Caenorhabditis elegans: one gene and its partner. The protein of the gene in region 1 interacts with the protein of each later gene in a pairwise test. Each region holds a gene or a part of one and is shown in the gene's direction. Other genes may lie near its edges.

The links. The genes of interacting proteins can lie anywhere in the genome.
Region 2: the proteins of crh-2 (region 1) and vps-4 interact in a two-hybrid assay, tested with the Caenorhabditis elegans proteins (one large-scale study listed by BioGRID).

The regions. Positions count from the first base shown.
Region 1 is NC_003280.10:5,179,028-5,188,804, reverse strand, and holds crh-2 (CREB homolog crh-2), read left to right. Parts: upstream 1-2,728; 5' UTR 2,729-2,918; coding exon 2,919-3,153; intron 3,154-4,204; coding exon 4,205-4,346; intron 4,347-4,700; coding exon 4,701-4,848; intron 4,849-5,002; coding exon 5,003-5,117; intron 5,118-6,824; exon of another isoform or gene 6,825-7,031; intron 7,032-7,716; exon of another isoform or gene 7,717-7,732; coding exon of another isoform or gene 7,733-7,991; intron 7,992-8,185; coding exon 8,186-8,277; intron 8,278-8,350; coding exon 8,351-8,497; intron 8,498-8,896; coding exon 8,897-8,993; intron 8,994-9,047; coding exon 9,048-9,127; 3' UTR 9,128-9,776; downstream 9,777-9,777. UniProt on the Caenorhabditis elegans protein: Transcription factor. Plays a role in regulating the developmentally arrested larval state known as dauer, when induced by long-term exposure to the Gram-negative bacterium P.aeruginosa PAO1, but dispensable for dauer formation induced by starvation.
Region 2 is NC_003279.8:1,062,426-1,069,442, reverse strand, and holds the start of vps-4 (vesicle-fusing ATPase), read left to right. Parts: upstream 1-2,543; 5' UTR 2,544-2,573; coding exon 2,574-2,594; intron 2,595-2,674; coding exon 2,675-2,786; intron 2,787-2,881; coding exon 2,882-3,051; intron 3,052-3,117; coding exon 3,118-3,250; intron 3,251-4,145; exon of another isoform or gene 4,146-4,524; coding exon of another isoform or gene 4,525-4,789; intron 4,790-5,436; coding exon of another isoform or gene 5,437-5,843; intron 5,844-6,687; coding exon of another isoform or gene 6,688-6,996; exon of another isoform or gene 6,997-7,017. Other genes in the region: gsa-1 (Guanine nucleotide-binding protein G(s) subunit alpha), read right to left, coding at 1-29, 355-456; npr-23 (G-protein coupled receptors family 1 profile domain-containing protein), read right to left, coding at 4,525-4,789, 5,437-5,843, 6,688-6,996.

The DNA.
Region 1 (9,777 bases):
GAATTGTTTTATTTTAATTTATTTTTTATGTCCTAGAATTTTTCAGTAGTATTTGTTTCTTTTGATTGCTGAAAATTTTTTGCACTTTTTTTCAAAAAATCAGTCAGTTCTAACTGATAAGAACGAAAATTCAATTACGAGATATTCTTTCAGAGAATAAACGGTTAACTTGAACTTTATATAAATCTGACTTAACTATAACCTATTTATTATTCAGATTTGAAATACTCGACGTTAAAGTTGACGTTTCATACGCAGTGCAATCACCCAAATATCGAAAACATATAGAACTTATTTCGTCCATTCGTTCTTCTTCTTCTTCTTCTATTCGATATCAATGAATAGAGCACACGTATGTACAATACTATTGTATTCATATTACAAACAGTCCCCTTTTCTGTCTTTTTCTCTTCTCCGGAAAGATGCCGTCCTCCATGACCTATTTGTTTAGCTGCAAAACAAAACGAGAAGAGCACTGTCACAAATTGAAAAGCATACGCACGGCTACTTTAGGGAATTTCAGATAATTTTAAAATTAATTTTTTTAATTTAAATAACAATTTTAAACATCGAAAACGAGCCTAGAATTTTATTTAAATGGCAGTTTTGAAGCGAATACAGTAATCCTAATTCAAATTTAAAATTGCAAGTCCGCTGGAGCGCATTTGCATTATTTTAGTCTCCTAAAACTTTGCTCGTTTTCAACTGTCTTCACAGATTTTATCATCATTTTCTCACTTTTAAAACACAAAAACTCAGAAAAACTGTTGTATTTTTTGATATTTCAATTTGAAAAAAATCAATGTTTTCAATTTTCCTACTTTTTGTTACTTTTATGTTGCTTCCTTGATCGGGATTTTGTTTTTATCCGATTTGCTCCCAATTTTCCATTCAAATTTATTCTTTGTGTCCTCACGTATACTTTTCGCTTCTTAAAATCAATTTTTAAAAGAAAGTTTATTTTCCTAATCTGCTTACAAGCTTGATATTGTAAAAAATTTAAGATTTTTTGAGAAAAATTAATATTTTCGAAAGTGTTTTTCTTGTAAATAATTTATTATAAAATTAAATTCCCTTTTGTCACAATTTTCGGTCAAAATTCTTTGAAAAATCCGCACCACCGATATTGACACACCCGAAACGTTATGAGCCGTCCGTTAGCTTAGCTGTGATCATGAGCACCGTCCGTTTTCCGAAAAAGGATTATCGATTCAATAATATATTGAAATTTGCAGTCTGGAAGCGATGATGATGGACGACGACTGGGCGACGAGTGGAGTTCTCGAAAAAGATGTATTTATTTCATCTGTTCATGATGAGAAGGACACTCTTGATGTGAGTATCAACGTTTTCAAAAATTATTTTATTTTTAAATTCAAGTTTCTAATTTAAATCAGCTTTATTTCAGATATTAAAGCTCTTCGACAATGATATCGATGGATTCTCCGACGACAATTTCCGAATTAAAATGGAACCGAACGATGAAACTTCTGGTAAGACCTCTTTCTTTAAATATGCCCTTTCCAAACATTCAAAGAATTTTCTTCTGATTTATGGTCACATTTTGAAAAGTTATCTTTCAACTAATTTTGAAATATTACTGATAACTCAGTGCTTTTAACATTTATAACATCAAGCTACAGTCAAGTTGAGTTCCGTTTTTCGGAAGTTTCAAAATCAAGGCTTACAGAGAATGAAATTAAAAATGGAACTGAAACGCAAATAAACACGCATTAATCTTTGCACTTGGGAAGAAGAAAGGCTGGGAGATAAAACAGCAATTTCACTCTCCGTACTAGCGTTTTTCGTAACAATGTCTCTTGGTGCTGATGTTGATATAAAGTGATAACGTCATCGGTCACTGGAAAATAAAAACGGCAGCAAAAAAAGGAGCACGAGCGAAGAAAGGACAGTGATCTGATGAAAGTGTGATATCGTTGATGAGCATCAAAAATCAAAATGGTGTGAAACTAAACTTGACCAAAATTTTTAATCAAAAAATTGTGTCAAAATCTAAAGAAATACTTGATTTATCTGGAAATAACATTATTTTCAGCTAAAAAATCTAGCTTTGTTTTTTTGACAATCGGCAACTTTCAGGCCGTTTGTGTGCCTTATCAGATAATTCAGCTAGAGTAAATGTTATTTTCAGATAAATCAAGTGATTTTCTAGACTTTGACAACAGTGTTCAATGAAGAATGTTGGAACAACATGGTGCAACAGGCCATTTTGTAGAGTCGAACATAAAATCCCTACCAGCCGACTGGCTACAATCATCTCATTTGAAGCCTTTTATTAGGTTTCCGATGTCATATTCCTTATTTCCCAGTCCACAACAGTTGAATACGTGAGCTAATCATAGTCACATATCAAACATCAACAGCGTATATTCATGATTTCAATCCATAATCGTCAACGACAACATCTCGTTATCAGCTCTTCGACCGTTTTACGACCGCCATCAAATATCGATTAAGTACCTTTTCAGTGTCATGTTATTATTATATGTGACCAAAAAGGTGTGACTTTAATTGAGAAATTCATATCGCCATGTTTGTTTACTTAAATCTGCATCACTTTTTAGAATAATAATTAAATAAGAATTCAGCAAAAGTGACTAACATGTGTGCTCTCCCCTTTGGAGCACTGTGTTAAACTGTTATCAGTTTTTCTCTCCGAAACTTGTGCTCTATTCTACTGGCTTCTCATGCACTCTCTGACTATCTCGTTTATCAAATTAGCGTCCCCCCATCTTTGTATCTTTCTCCCCTTGTTGAGTTGCTGCCGCCTGCCCCACCTGTCAGTGGGGAGGAAAAAGAAACAAGAATAAGAACAGTATCACATTATTCTGGCTCTAACTTTTCCCTCACATCTCCGTCAGATTACTGTAAATATTGTACCACCAACAACTGTAACTATGAACTCTTCGTCATCTCGTTCATCAATGTCAATGCCAATGCCAATGGATATGCCACAGATGCATATGGGAATGAACAATAACTGTGAAATGAACCAAATGATGCATCCGATCCCAAATTTCCCTATGAAATGGGAACCATGTACTCCACCTGACGAAAAGCCTCATCCTTCTATGCTATTTCCTCCACTATCTGGAATTTTCAATCAGTCACGTCACAGTAGCACTGGGGAAGGTAGGCCACATTTTAACTCTCCGATTTCCCAACTTATTCATGAAGCTAAATTCCTAATAATTAGAATATTGAAAAATATTTTTTAATTCCTAATTTTCTCACTTCCTTCATCATTTTTTTACTTCCATTTTTTTCTTTTAATGATGACTTGAGAGTGTTATCAGTGAACCATCAGCTCAAAAGTTCACATTTTAACCGAATCACTTTAGAATCATCTCTCTTTCTTTTTCAGTGTTTATGATGAAATTGAAACTTTATCATTTAAAGATTATACTTTTATTATGCTTTAAAGTTGCCTTTGGAAGAGCATGTGCACAAAACACGATAACTGTGACTTGCTACTGACTATTCCCGTACATTGGAATTATCACGCACTGTTTTACTGATAAGCTTTGGAAAGTTGCTACAACTTTTTGTCGTTCCTCTGCCACATGTTCCACTGATGACGTACTGGTCTCTCGGAGAAATTACCTAATCCTACCTTGTCGCTGAACGTATATTGGCCTGAAATTTGTAGTACAGTTGCCACTTTGTCATCCAATTAAGTATGGCGTTTCCCGGAACCAAGAGGAATAATCGTCATGAAGAAAAGAGTGTCTCGTGTTGCAGGTCATTGACGTAAATGCACAATTTATGACCCAGTATATTTCGTCTCTCTATCTTTCTTCTCGAAACATTTGTTTACTTATCAAAAAAAGGGTTGGATGTAAGAGCTAGGAAGTTATCACAAAAAGTGAAAGGTAGCATGTAAAACAACTCTTAAATGTTTCAAAAGTGGAACAAAGAGTGATAGGAGATGAAAGAAAAGAACACGGTTAATTAGGAGGGTTCAAGACAGAGAAAAACCATTAAAATTAAAGAAAGGACAAGGTTTTTTTCGCTGATAACAAAACGAGTCAGGAGCCAACCCGGCGAGGTTGAAGTTTTTCATATTGGTGGCGAATTTGCTTTGAAATATGAAAAAAAAATTAGAAAATGGAACAAGAGGTTTTATAATTTCAGATCCTGGAAACTCCAATACTTGATCTTTTTTAAATTTATATTATTTCAGACTATCACGGATCATCATCGGGAAGCCCATCGTCGTCACTTTCATCGCCGAACGAATTCAAGGATGAGCCTCTCGGACTCGATGTTCATTTTGGAAATTCACTTTTCAATGCTCCGTTCAGTCCGTCGGCCACATCGTCGCAGTGAGTTTTGGAGCAAAAAGTTGAAAACTATCGGCGTGAAAAAAAGAAAAAAAAACGTAAAAACTCGAAACTAGGTCAGTGGGTCACAGAGACCTCCCAATTTGAAGACCTCCCATTTCTCGGTGTTCCATCCACGTGGAAGCATGTGGCTATACGTTTTTTTTTTCATTTTTAAAAAATCAATTTTCTATGTCAATTAATTAAAAATTTTGCAATTATCTTCTTGGAATTGACAATAACTTTGTTGAAAAATCGTTTTTTTTTTTTGCAAAAATTGAATTTCTCTCAGAATTTTAAATTATAATTTACTTTAACTACATTGAGACAGACTAATCGTTCGTAAGTATATTTCAGCAGCCCGTCGTCTTACGGAATGATGCACGGAAGTCACTCAATGGCTTCGCATCAGCTCCACCAACAACAACTGTCTCCTTTACCATCCGTGGCTCATTTCTCCCATAGTCACCATCTTCAGCATCATGTGGTTCAGCATCCATCTCAGGTGAGATCAGATTCAGCGAAATGATTTTAAATTTGACAAAAAACTATTTGTAAAATATTTTATTTAATTTTATAAAATTAATTTATTTTCAATTTAAATGATTTATACATACATACATTAAATTTAGAAACATTTTTGAAAATTCTTTTTTCAGGCTTCACTGCAAATGAACATGAACCAAATATTCTCCGGTCCCAGTCACCAATACGCTTCTTCAAGTGTCCCGCACACTTTCCTCTTCAAGGATTCAACAATTTATGAAGGAATGGGTACGTCATTTGAATATTCAAAAAACAAACCAAAAACTTCAATTAAAATTCGTATTTTTGAGCTTAAATTGCTTTCACATAGGTTCGAGCTAGATTTTTGAAGCTGAAGCTTTCCGTGCGCACAGATTTTTATAGACTTTTATCGTCTGAAATTTTACTTCCCAAAAATAACTCCCCACCTCAATGAACCTGGATTAATGTACTTCCTCGTCTCTAGAATAAGCCAATTATTTAGTTCATTATCCCCGTCACGATCAGATGACGTCAAAGTTGTCCTTCTTCACACTTGATCCTGTTTGCCACGTCATAATTTTCTATGTCTCTAGCCAGCAGTTTTTATTCATTTGAGAGAAACACATGCAATGTGACTAGTGAAAAACTCGTTTAAATTATACTTTTGAAAATTCCACGTCATAAGATTTTCAAAAACATTGAGGTTCTCCTACCAGATGAGTGTCAAGTGACATGACATAGAATTAGATGTACTTTTTGTAGAATTTAAGATTTTTCTAATGGGTTATTGTCTTCCAGCTTTATATTTAAAAAATTAAATGCCAAATTTAAAATTGGTTTTATTTTATGACTGATGCTTCGGGCAGTGTCTTTTGGCCGTTGCCTCGGAACGAGAATTGTGGACGTTTCTCCGATACGCAAGGAAAATAAAAATAAGAAGTGCCACGTCACTCGCCCATTGTCTGCGCTCTCTGAGAGAAGCATACTGTTTGTTGCAAGACTTTGGACGACGTGCCATTGCATTCTTCGTTTTATTTTTCAAGTCATGGCCAATCGGAAGGAGCACCTTGTGTGTCAGTTCCCATTTTCGCACGCCACGTCATTTCGCTTCTGCATAGTTGCATCTATGTTTAGTTACGACTGTGTGAAACACCAAAAATAAAAGAAGATACGAGAGAAAGTTTGCTGGTCTGCCACGTCAGTATGTGTGTGTGTGTGTGCAGGAAAATCTCGAAAGTGTGTCAGTCTGAAAACGAGATGTCCATGCGCCACACACATGCACACAAACTCACTCAAGAAGTGCTGATGCTTTGCGTTTTGCCACGTCATGTGACACGCGTCTGTCCCTTATCTATTCTCTATTTCTCTTACATCTGCATCGTCTCTGACACACTCCTGACTGCATTCTGCTGCTTACACCCTAGTCATAGACTCCTTTCGTCCTCTTCTCCTCGTCCACTTCTATCACCATCACCACTTCATCGACGTCGTTTTTTCCTTAAATCGACCCAATATTGTTGTTTTTTTTTCAACCACTTTTCCACGTCATTGGTTGATGGTAGTGATGCTGTAACAATTATTTTTTGAGTTTGCCACTTTCTGATTTTTACTAGGTTTGGGTTACTGTAGTTGATAGTTTCATGTTTTCTTAGCGTTTTTCTTAGACTCAATTTTGCAGCATAAGTTTTTAAAACAACAAATAAATGTTTGTCTCTATTTAAGGAACATAGATCTCTTAATAATCTAGATTAAAAATATAATTTTTTGTGGCGTGGCTATTCATCACACCTAGAAATTCTTTACCCCACGAGGGCACTCAAATTCCCACTTTATTATCGCATCACTTTATTTTTCTGCAAACAATAGGAAAATAGTGGTAGTAGAGAAGTTTGGCAATATACCTAGAAAGAGTAAATATTATGACGTGGCAGATGAGATGTGACAAAAAATTGTTCTACCCGTTTTCGTTCCGATTTTTTTGTGAACGTCATCGAGTTTCTACATGAGCTCCTATTTTTACCAGTCCGTGACCAACGGCTTCCGTCGCCGCGTCGTTTCCCAGAGCCATTGGGTACCCTAATGGCCAACGGGGGAAAAAATAGGGAAATAGCCACGAGAGAATGTGAAAGCAAGAAAGAGAGACACGTCCGTCTCTTTTCTATACTCTGACTTCTCTGACGTGGCAAAGTGTGTATATACGGAAAGAGACCGCTCTCGGGGTCTCTTCCTTTTCCATTTTCACTACGCGTGACGTGTCGGCGTCTCCGAGGTTATCGCGTGTCCAAAGCCCATCTCTATGCCTCTAATCGGTCGGTCCCCTCATCTGCCACGTTGCGAACTCTGCGTTTCTTTGTCTTTGACACTATTTCGCTGAGGGTCGTCGATCGAAAACCCTCTTCTCTCCTCTTCTTGCCCCCTATGTCCTCTAGATTCATTTACCCTTGGGGCCTTTTTAGTTCGTATTCTTATTTGCCACGTCATGTCATAATATTCATCATAATGAGTGGATTCTTTACAGTCCGACCAGTGCCTATTTTCCATAAATCTACTTTTTGACACATACAACACGATTTCTGAAAGTTGAATAAACAATTGTTTTGATACGGCTCAGGATGTATTTCGTTGTGGGAATCATACATTTTTAGTGGTAAATGTAGGTTCCGGACAAGTTGAGTACTTTTTTGAGTTCCAAGTCTCTTTCTCACTCTCTTTCACACCTTTTCTCCTGTCATTCCAGTTCATTTGTGGTGTCTGGCACCTCCAGCACCTGTTTCGTCCCTTCTGTCGTTTTCTTATTGATCATCTTAGCATCCTACCTTGTTTCTATCTAATTTTCTGAACATACTGAAATTCGTGTTACTGTAGAAAACCCAAAAAAGACGATGGCGACACGTTGTACCGCCAACGTCTTTATCAAAGACGAAATCAAAGAGGAGCAACTCGAAGATCATGGAATCGAAATGGACCTGTCAGCCCTTCTGAACTCTCGTGCTGGAACGAATTCACACGATTCGAGTCCTGACGAAGAAGAACACGACATGACAATTCATAGTGAAATGTTTTTAGCGGCAGCCTCAGCTGACGGATTGGACGGATCAGAAGGAAGTCAAGAAGTGATGGATGTTGATGACCTCTTATTGCGTACGTGAATATATGTTTCAAAAAACTAGCTCGAACCAATGTGAAAGTCAAAAAAAAACTGCAAGAAAAAACAAAAGTTCACATAAAACTGTGTGATTTTGTGCGTTTGTTTACTGTATTTATTAAACATCGAAAACACATTTTGTATTTAGAATTGATTTTTTTAAATAAAAAAAAATGCTATTTTTCTTCAGGTGGCATGGGTTTGGCGGCCGCTCAGCAGCAGTTGAAAGCGAGAAACAAGATGCACGAAATGGCTATTCGACAACATCTAATCACTGATCAGGTAAGTAAACTTTTTTTTTAAATTTTTAACTCTGATCTATAATTTTTCTAAAAGTAATAATGAAACATTTCAGAATATAACTGCCAATGGAGACTTGGTGTTGTCAGCAGAAGAGCGACGAACTCTTGTTCAAGAAGGCTATTCAATTCCACAGAAATACCCACTGACAAAAAGTGAAGAGGAATCCTTGAAGATTGTTCGTCGTAAAATCAAGAACAAGGTGAGTTTTTAAAATTTTCTAAAAAAAAGCAATTTGACATGCAAAATATCTCGTAGTGAAAACTACAGTAACTTTTTAAATAGCTACTGTAGCGCTGGTTTCAATTTACGGACTCAATTTTCGAAACGAATTTATTTTCGAATTGTGACAGCGATATTCAATTTTATTTTTCTGTGTTAAAAAATTTTATTGATTGATAAATGTTTTTCGTAAATCGACACCAGCGCTACAGTAGTCATTTAAAAAGTTACTGTAGTTTTCACTACGAGATATTTTGCGAGTCAAATACCTCGCGCAATACGCATTCCCATGATTTAGTGTTCCCGTAATAAAATAAACAGTTTCAAACTTTTCAAACTTTTAATATTTATATATAATCTTAAAAATTTCAAATTTCAGCTTTCTGCACAAGAATCTCGCCGAAAAAGAAAGGAGTACATTGATGCCCTTGAGGGTCGATTGCACTGTTTTAGTGAGGAGAACAAATCCCTTAAAAGTAAGTAATAAATATAGATTAAAATTTCCATAATTTAATTATCATAATTTTCAGAGCAAGTTCACCAATTGGAAGCATCAAATCGTGATCTTCAGCAGAAGCTGCATCAATACGAAAGTAAAGAAAAAATGTAGTTTCTCCCAATGTCCCTCATATTTTTATCTCGCTCCATTCTCTTCAAAAACACGAGTATTTTCTCCCATTCCCTTGATATTGCACCCCTTTAATAAGTCCAGTGAATTAGATAATTTTTATATACAATTTTTTCAAACGTTAATCGTATGTTATCAGGGAATGCAGTATAATTGCCACGCAAAAAATTGTTTTTCTACGATCAATAGGTAAACCATTTTCTCCCTAGGGTAAACCATTTTCTCCCCCTTTCGTGTATTTTCTGTGATATTTCATTGTGTCCTCCGCCTCTCCCTCAAAAGGCCTTCAGTTTTGAATTGTTCCAGTTTTAACCGCTTTTCATCACTCATGTTACATTGAATGATTCTTGTAACATCTCCTTTTTCTGTAAATCATAGCCTGGGTATTAATTATAAGAGTAGAACATGATTTCTTCAAAAGAAAACATTTTCACTCAATTTTCCAACTGATCGGTTTCTATTAATTTCTTCTTGTTGATTTTACTCTTTCTTGGGACACTGATTCTACCTCCTTGCATAATTACCCATCTATATGCTTCCTTTTTATGTAATTTTCATGAAAATACAACCACCCACTCCATCACATTCTGCTCCCTCAAATGTTATAGATATAAATTATTGATTTTAAATTT
Region 2 (7,017 bases), on another chromosome or scaffold:
AGCAGCAGGCGATGAGTCGCTCGCATCACCTACAAAACTGGGTTTGGTGTGTGTGTGTGTATGTGTTGAGGATGGGATCTGTTACAACGCGTTTTTGTTCATCGTCCGCCGGAGGGGGGCCCCCGGGGCAGAGCGACGAACTCTTCGCCCCTCGCCGCCTGGCGGCCTCCAAAATTCGAAGCCCTCCCTCTCCCCCCTCCTTTCCACCCATCGATCAATATTTCAACGATGTGTTGCTAGAGGCTTACCGGTTTAATGGCAGATCATTTGGAAGGGAGGGAAATTATGGCGACGCGGGGGCGGGGGGAAGACGATGAACAAAAACCACAAAAACCCACCAATTCCTAAACATACCTGCTTATCCTTAGCCAACTGCTCCTCGATCTGCTTGTTGACCTTGCGTGCTTCTCGGCCTTCGGCATCAGCGCCAGCGCCGACGCACCCCATAAGGCGCATCTTGACGCGGTGGCGACGGCTCTTCTTCCGATCGGTGGTGGTTGCGCAGTGGTTTCAGCAAGTACAGTAGTAGTGAAACGTTTGAAAGGCGGTGGTGAACGGTAACGAATTAGCGGAATAGTCAACGGCGACGTGGTGAGCAGGGCAACTCACGGCGTGTGTAGGCAAAATGGAAAAGACAGAAAGAAGTGTGTGGGGGGAAGACGGAGAAGAAGAAGAAGAAGAAAAAAGAATAGAGAATTTGGAATTTGGAAGTTACTGGCCGATGTGATGGGAGAGGGTGGTTGGGGATCGAACGTTCGCAATCGGATCAGACGCACGTCGAATCGTGTTCGAGGCGCGTTGCCGTTGTCGTCGTCGCCGTCTTCGTCTTCTTCGTGTATCGGACAGCGGCCACAGACAAGTATGCAAACGACGAGAGAGAGGCGAAAGCAGCAGAGAGGGACAAACACACAAACACACTCACTCACTCACTCTCTCTCTCTCTCACAGTGTGTGTGTGTGTGTATTTTGTGAGTGCTAGTTGCCAGGCTCCTTTCCAACGGGCGGTCTCCTCAATCGAAATGCTCCCTCGCGTCGTGTCGTCTAAACTGCGTGTCGCACCAAACGCGACCGCCGGACCAACACACACGGCCGGCCGCCCCGTCGACAGCTCTTGTCCGGCACCGGCCTGCCGCCCTCCGGCTTCTTTGTGCTCTTTTCGTCGGCTTTATCGTCTGTTTCTCTTGTCGCGCCAGCGGGGCACACATACACACTTTTCGCCTCACTGGCATCCTCGATTTCTCAGGCTGTTGAGAGGGAAAGAGAGGGGGGGACTGCACACGCGTCGCGCTTCTCTCAACTCTCGTGCGTCGCGGCGGCGACGGCGGCGGCGGCGGCCCCACTGCACCCGCCAATTCAAACTCGGGTTTCAGTGCAGTGTTGGGGAGCTGCGAGCGGTAGCGACAGTGTGCGCCTTTAAAAAGTACTGTAGTTTTGAACTTTTCCATGCGCTTCTGGATTCCCTCGCATTTTTAAGTGGAAGAGTTTGCCAGACTAGGCCATTTTGTCTCGGCCACGGTTGGGGTAGATTTACGGCGCGTTGTGTGTCGCGTCGCGGCTCGGCTCGATTTTCATTGTGAAACAAAATTTATTTGTCCGTGTGGAGTACACAACTTTCCCACGCGTTGTCCGGCAGGTGATTGTCAATGGGGCGCAAAAAATTGCAATGACGAATACCAGAATCCCGTGTTTTTGCTCACGATTCATATTATTTTATTCTAGTTTTTTGAAAAATCTGAGAATTCTGGAAAAAAATTTGAAATGACAGTACTCTTTGAAGGCGCTAAATTTGATTTGTCGTGTCAAGACCAGGAAATTGCTGCCGTCAACTGAACGAATTGATTTTGTGAAAAATATTCCCATTTTGATAATAAATATATTTTTTTTTTGAAGAAAATCATATTTTGCAAACTACTGCTTATTGCGTAGAGCATGTTTTTAAAACGAAAAAAGATCAAATACCGTATCCCTCATTTAAAGGCGCATGGGCTATTCATTCTCCAGCTTTAGTTATTTCAGGTCTAGAAATAAATGCTGAAGCATCTCTTGCAACGAAATCTGAATTTTCACAGTCTTTACATATATATATATTTTTAAATAATAAATGAATATCGATATGATCACGGGTTTTCAGGTTTTTAATTGAATTTTAACTGAATTGTTGTAGATTTCTAATTATTTTGTTTTGTAAACTATGGAATCGTCTCTGAATTCGGTAAATTTGCAGGAAAAAAATCTAAATTCAAACTTCCCTCCAAAATTCGTCGCGAATCACGTCAGCGTCGGGAAACGCGTCAGCAACCACCAGCTGGCGCGCTTCTCGTTTTGCGCTTAAAAAGCGTGACTCAGTTTTCAATGATTTCACAATCATTAAAAGCGAGAAATATCGCGAAAACCTGCTTATAAACTTGATTTTTTGATGCTGATTAGCTAGAATTTTGTTAAAATATCGATTTTCTAAAGTTTAGGGCTGAAAAATTCACTTTTTGACTCCCATCTTGTTGCTCCATCGATTTTCGTAAAATTGCTGACTTTTCGTATTTCAGCGTCCACCGCTCACTTATCGCCAGGAAAAAATGTCGGTTCCGGCACTTCAGGTAGAGTTTTTAGAGTTTTTTGTTTAAAAAATTGAAAAATAAAACATTTTTTAATTTTTTAAAAATTTTTTTAATTCCAGAAGGCCATAGAATTGGTGACAAAAGCCACCGAGGAGGATACAGCCGGCAGATACGACCAAGCGCTGAGATTATACGATCAGGCCATTGAATACTTCCTTCATGCGATAAAATGTTGGTTTTTGAGCGGAATTTTCCGGGTTTTTTCCGTTTTTTCCGTTGAAAAAAATAAAAAATATGTTAATTTTCAATTATTTTTAAATTTTCAGACGAGTCACAAGGCGATAAACAGCGTAATGCGATTCGTGACAAAGTCGGGCAGTATTTGAATCGCGCCGAGCAGATCAAAACCCATCTGAAAGACGGAAAAACGCAGAAAAAGCCGGTGAAAGACGGGAAAGACGATTCCGACGAGGATGAGGACAAGAAAAAGTTTCAGGTAATCAAATTTTAATGGAAATTATCACCGAATTCAGCCCATCAGCCCAAAAATCGCAATTTTCAGGACAAACTGTCGGGCGCAATTGTGATGGAGAAGCCGAATGTCAAGTGGACCGATATTGCAGGACTTGAGGGAGCGAAAGAGGCGCTCAAGGAGGCCGTCATTCTTCCAATCAAATTTCCACAGCTTTTCACTGGTGAGAATCGTGGAATTTTGGCGAAAAATAATTTAAAAAATGCAGCTTTCCGCTGGAAAATCGATAAATTCAGTGATTTTTGCGGATTTTTGGTGAAAATTTGGGTTAATTTTCAATTTTCTCCCCAAAAAAAAAAAAACGATTTTTTAAATAAAATTCGGAAGAAATTGCAGTTTTTCAGGTTTTTGCCGATTTCCTTGCCTAAAAATCGATAAATTAGGCGGTTTTTCGGAGAAAATTCGGAAATTTCACTGGTTCCCGCAAAAAATCTCCAGTTTTAGTAAAATTTTGCAAAATTTCACCTGAAAATTTGCAAAAATCCCCCCCAGTTAACCGATTTTCCGCCAAAAAACTGCGAATTTTCCCCGGAAAATTAGCGAAAACCTCCGAAATGTCTATTTTTATAACAAAATTGAAGGAGAATGGATTTTTGAAAAAAAAACAATTATTACATATTCGGAAAAAAAACCTCCCGATGGGTCTCGCCAAGAAAAAAATGCATGCGTCTTTAATTTGGAGTTTCACGTGTCCCATTACGGTTTGATCTACAAAAAATGCGGGAATTTTTCGTCCTGAAAATGACGTGTCAGCAATATGCGAAATCAGTTGAGAACTCTGCGTCGCTTCTCTCCCGCATTTTTCGTAGATCGCCGTAGATCAAGCGGAAATGGATCTCTGGCTTCCCTCATAAACTGAAATGGAAGAGTTTTTGCCGAACTAGGCCATTTTGGCTCGGCCATATCTGGGGTAGATTTACGGCGCGTTGCGTGTCGCGTCGCGGCTCGATTTTAGCGCGAAAAATTCAACGAGGAAGGCCAGAACCCCGTGAGAAAAATTGAAAATTTTGACCTCAATTTCAGAAAAACGTACTTTTTTTTTGAAAAATCTGAAATATATATACGATTTATTTTGCAATACAACATTCGCGGAAATTTCAAAAATTGAAAAAATGACACTATACAAAAGACTATCGGGAAGTACGTGGTGTCAGGTAGTCTCATTGCGGTTTGATCTACAAAAAATGCGGGAATTTTTCGCCCAGAAAAATTGTGACGTCAGCACCACGTTCTTAACCATACGAAATCAGTTGGGAACTCTGCGTCTCTCAACTCCCGCATTTTTTGTAGATCAAAGCGAAATGGGACTTTCTCTGTCTCCATGTGGGGAAGTGGTTTGGAATGACCGGGACTTTATAAGGGAAATGGCATTATTTTTTTTGGGGAGAAAATGGGCAAGATATGGGCGTTTTTTGGCAAGCGCGGGGGAAAAGCAGATCAAATCAGCTGAGCCTGCATATTGTGCTGATGTGCGACGTGGTGATAGGCTCCGGTGCCGGTTTTGGTGTGAGTCCTCGCCGTCAGAGCCATATCCTCCTCCTTTATGATGAAAATGCTGGCTCCGTAGAGCAACGGAGCGATGATGCACGGTACGAAGGCGAACATGGTGCATCCGATGGTCCACAGTGTGTCCTGACTCATTCGGACGGGATCCGACGGGTCCAAGGCGGTTAGGATGTAGAAGGGCAGAGCGTAGAGGGGACTGGAAATATGAATATATATACATATTTTTTTTTTTTGGAATTTTTCGTTTTAACACGAGATTTGGCCTTTTTTTTATTGTGTTATTAGACTCAAAATTGCCTGAAAACGCCGAATTTCATAATGGAATTTCTTGAATACTTCTCAAAAAAAAGTTATGACAGCTCAAAAATGGCCTAAAATTAGTTAGAATTAGAAATTTGATCTACTTGTCAAGTGGCTGGAAACTATCTTTTTTTTTCAAATTTTACCGTCAAATTTTGAGTATAAAATGTAAATTCGGAACACGTTTTAATTATCTTGCGTTTTCAACTCGATTTAGGTATTTTAAAGTTGATGGACGGCGAGATTTTTAAATTTTTTAAACCAAATCTCGCCGTCCATCGACTTTAAAATACCTGGATTGAGTTGAAAACGCAAGATAATTGAAACGTGTTCCGAAATTACATTGTATACTCAAAATTTGACGGTAAAATTTGAAAAAAAAAGATAGTTTCCAGCCGCTTAACAAGTAGATCAAATTTCTAATTCTAACTAATTTTAGGCCATTTTTTGAGGCGTCATAACTATTTTGAGGAGTTTTCAAGAAGTTTCATTATGAAATTCGGTGTTTTCAGTCAATTTTGAGTCTAAGGCCTTAAAACTCACCCCAAAAGGAAGAAATACACGAGGAATCTGCTCTTGTACAAGCCCAGCGACTGGAACACAATTGGACTATGAAATAGAGTCTGTAGAATTCGAAAGTAGGCGATCGACGAGAATAAGGCCGGAATGAACACGCCGAAGATCATGGTGTACGTCAAGAATTTTAGGCCAGAGTCCGAGTGTGAGAAGACGCAAGTTCGGACCGCTGGGCCGTAGATCGCCACGTGGCCGTTGGTTAGAGACGGTAGAGAGAGGAGCCAGGAGATTATCCACGACAAGATGCATAGTTTGGTGGGTGTCAGGCCGAAAAGTTGCTCGTAGTGGATGCGGGCGAACGTTAGCAGATGAACACCGGCGATGCAGAGGTTCATCATGGCGATGACGGTCCAGACGGTGACGGTTATGGAGACCTGGAAAATGCTTCTGTTTAGTAAAACAAGCAGAAAATTGCGTGAATTGTGAAAAATTCCAATTTGAAAGCTTTTCCGGCATGGTTCTGAGATAGCTTAAAGCTTCAGGCTACTGAGCTTTATTTGAACTTGAAAAAGCTGTGTGATCTACTAAAAATTCCATTTCGCGAATTTTCCCCGATAGGAGAAGACTGCGATTGTCACACATAGTATGTCCCATCACGGTTTGATCTACAAAAAATGCGGGAATTTTTCGCCCAGAAAAATGTGACGTCAGTACGTTCTGAGAACTCTGCGTCGCTTCTTCCGCATTTTTTGTAGATCTACGTAGATCAAACCGAAATGAGACACTCTGACACCACGTGTGGCATGGTACATCAAGTCTATTCAGTTCAGCTTCAAAGAATTTCTATCTCGAAAAGACGTTTTTTTTTCCGAAAGAATTGGTGAAAATTCGTAATGTAGGAATTTCCCAGAAATTTCAAACGACAGAATATTTTTAAAATATTCACTGTTTTTTTCTAGAGATATACAGGCAATTCTCAATTTGTTATCTTCAAAAAATGAATTTTGAACCGAAAGTTTGGTCAAAAGTCAGAATTTTGAATAAACCAAAAGCTACAAATCACAGAATTTCGGCGAAATTTGCGAATTTTTCGCAATTTTCAATTTAAACCGCACGTGGTGTCAGGCAGTCTCACTGCGGTTTGATCTACAAAAAATGCGGGAATTTTTCGCCTAGCAATCAGTTGAGATGTCTGCGTCTCACCTCCCGCATTTTTCGTAGATCAAAGCGAAATGGGACTTTCTGACTCCACGTGACAGCGGAAAACGTCTCTGTTACCTGAATCCGACACAACATATTGCTGTCCTGAAGCAAGTTGACACCGGTGAACACGTTATGAATGATCACCGGCACCAATACGAGCAACGCGATCAAGTTGGTGAAGCACAAGTGTCCGATGAATCGAGACGAGATAAAGTTTTGGTAGAGCTTCTTGGCGAAGATGTACACGAGCAGTGATGCATTTCCGATCACTCCGATAATGCAAATAATTGTGAATATCAGAGCGAGAATCGGTGATGGTGCAGAGGTGTGTGTCGAGTTGTAGTACTCTTCGTCGATTTCCGATGAGTTGAAGAAGCCGTACATTTTTTTTTGGAGAAAGTGAAG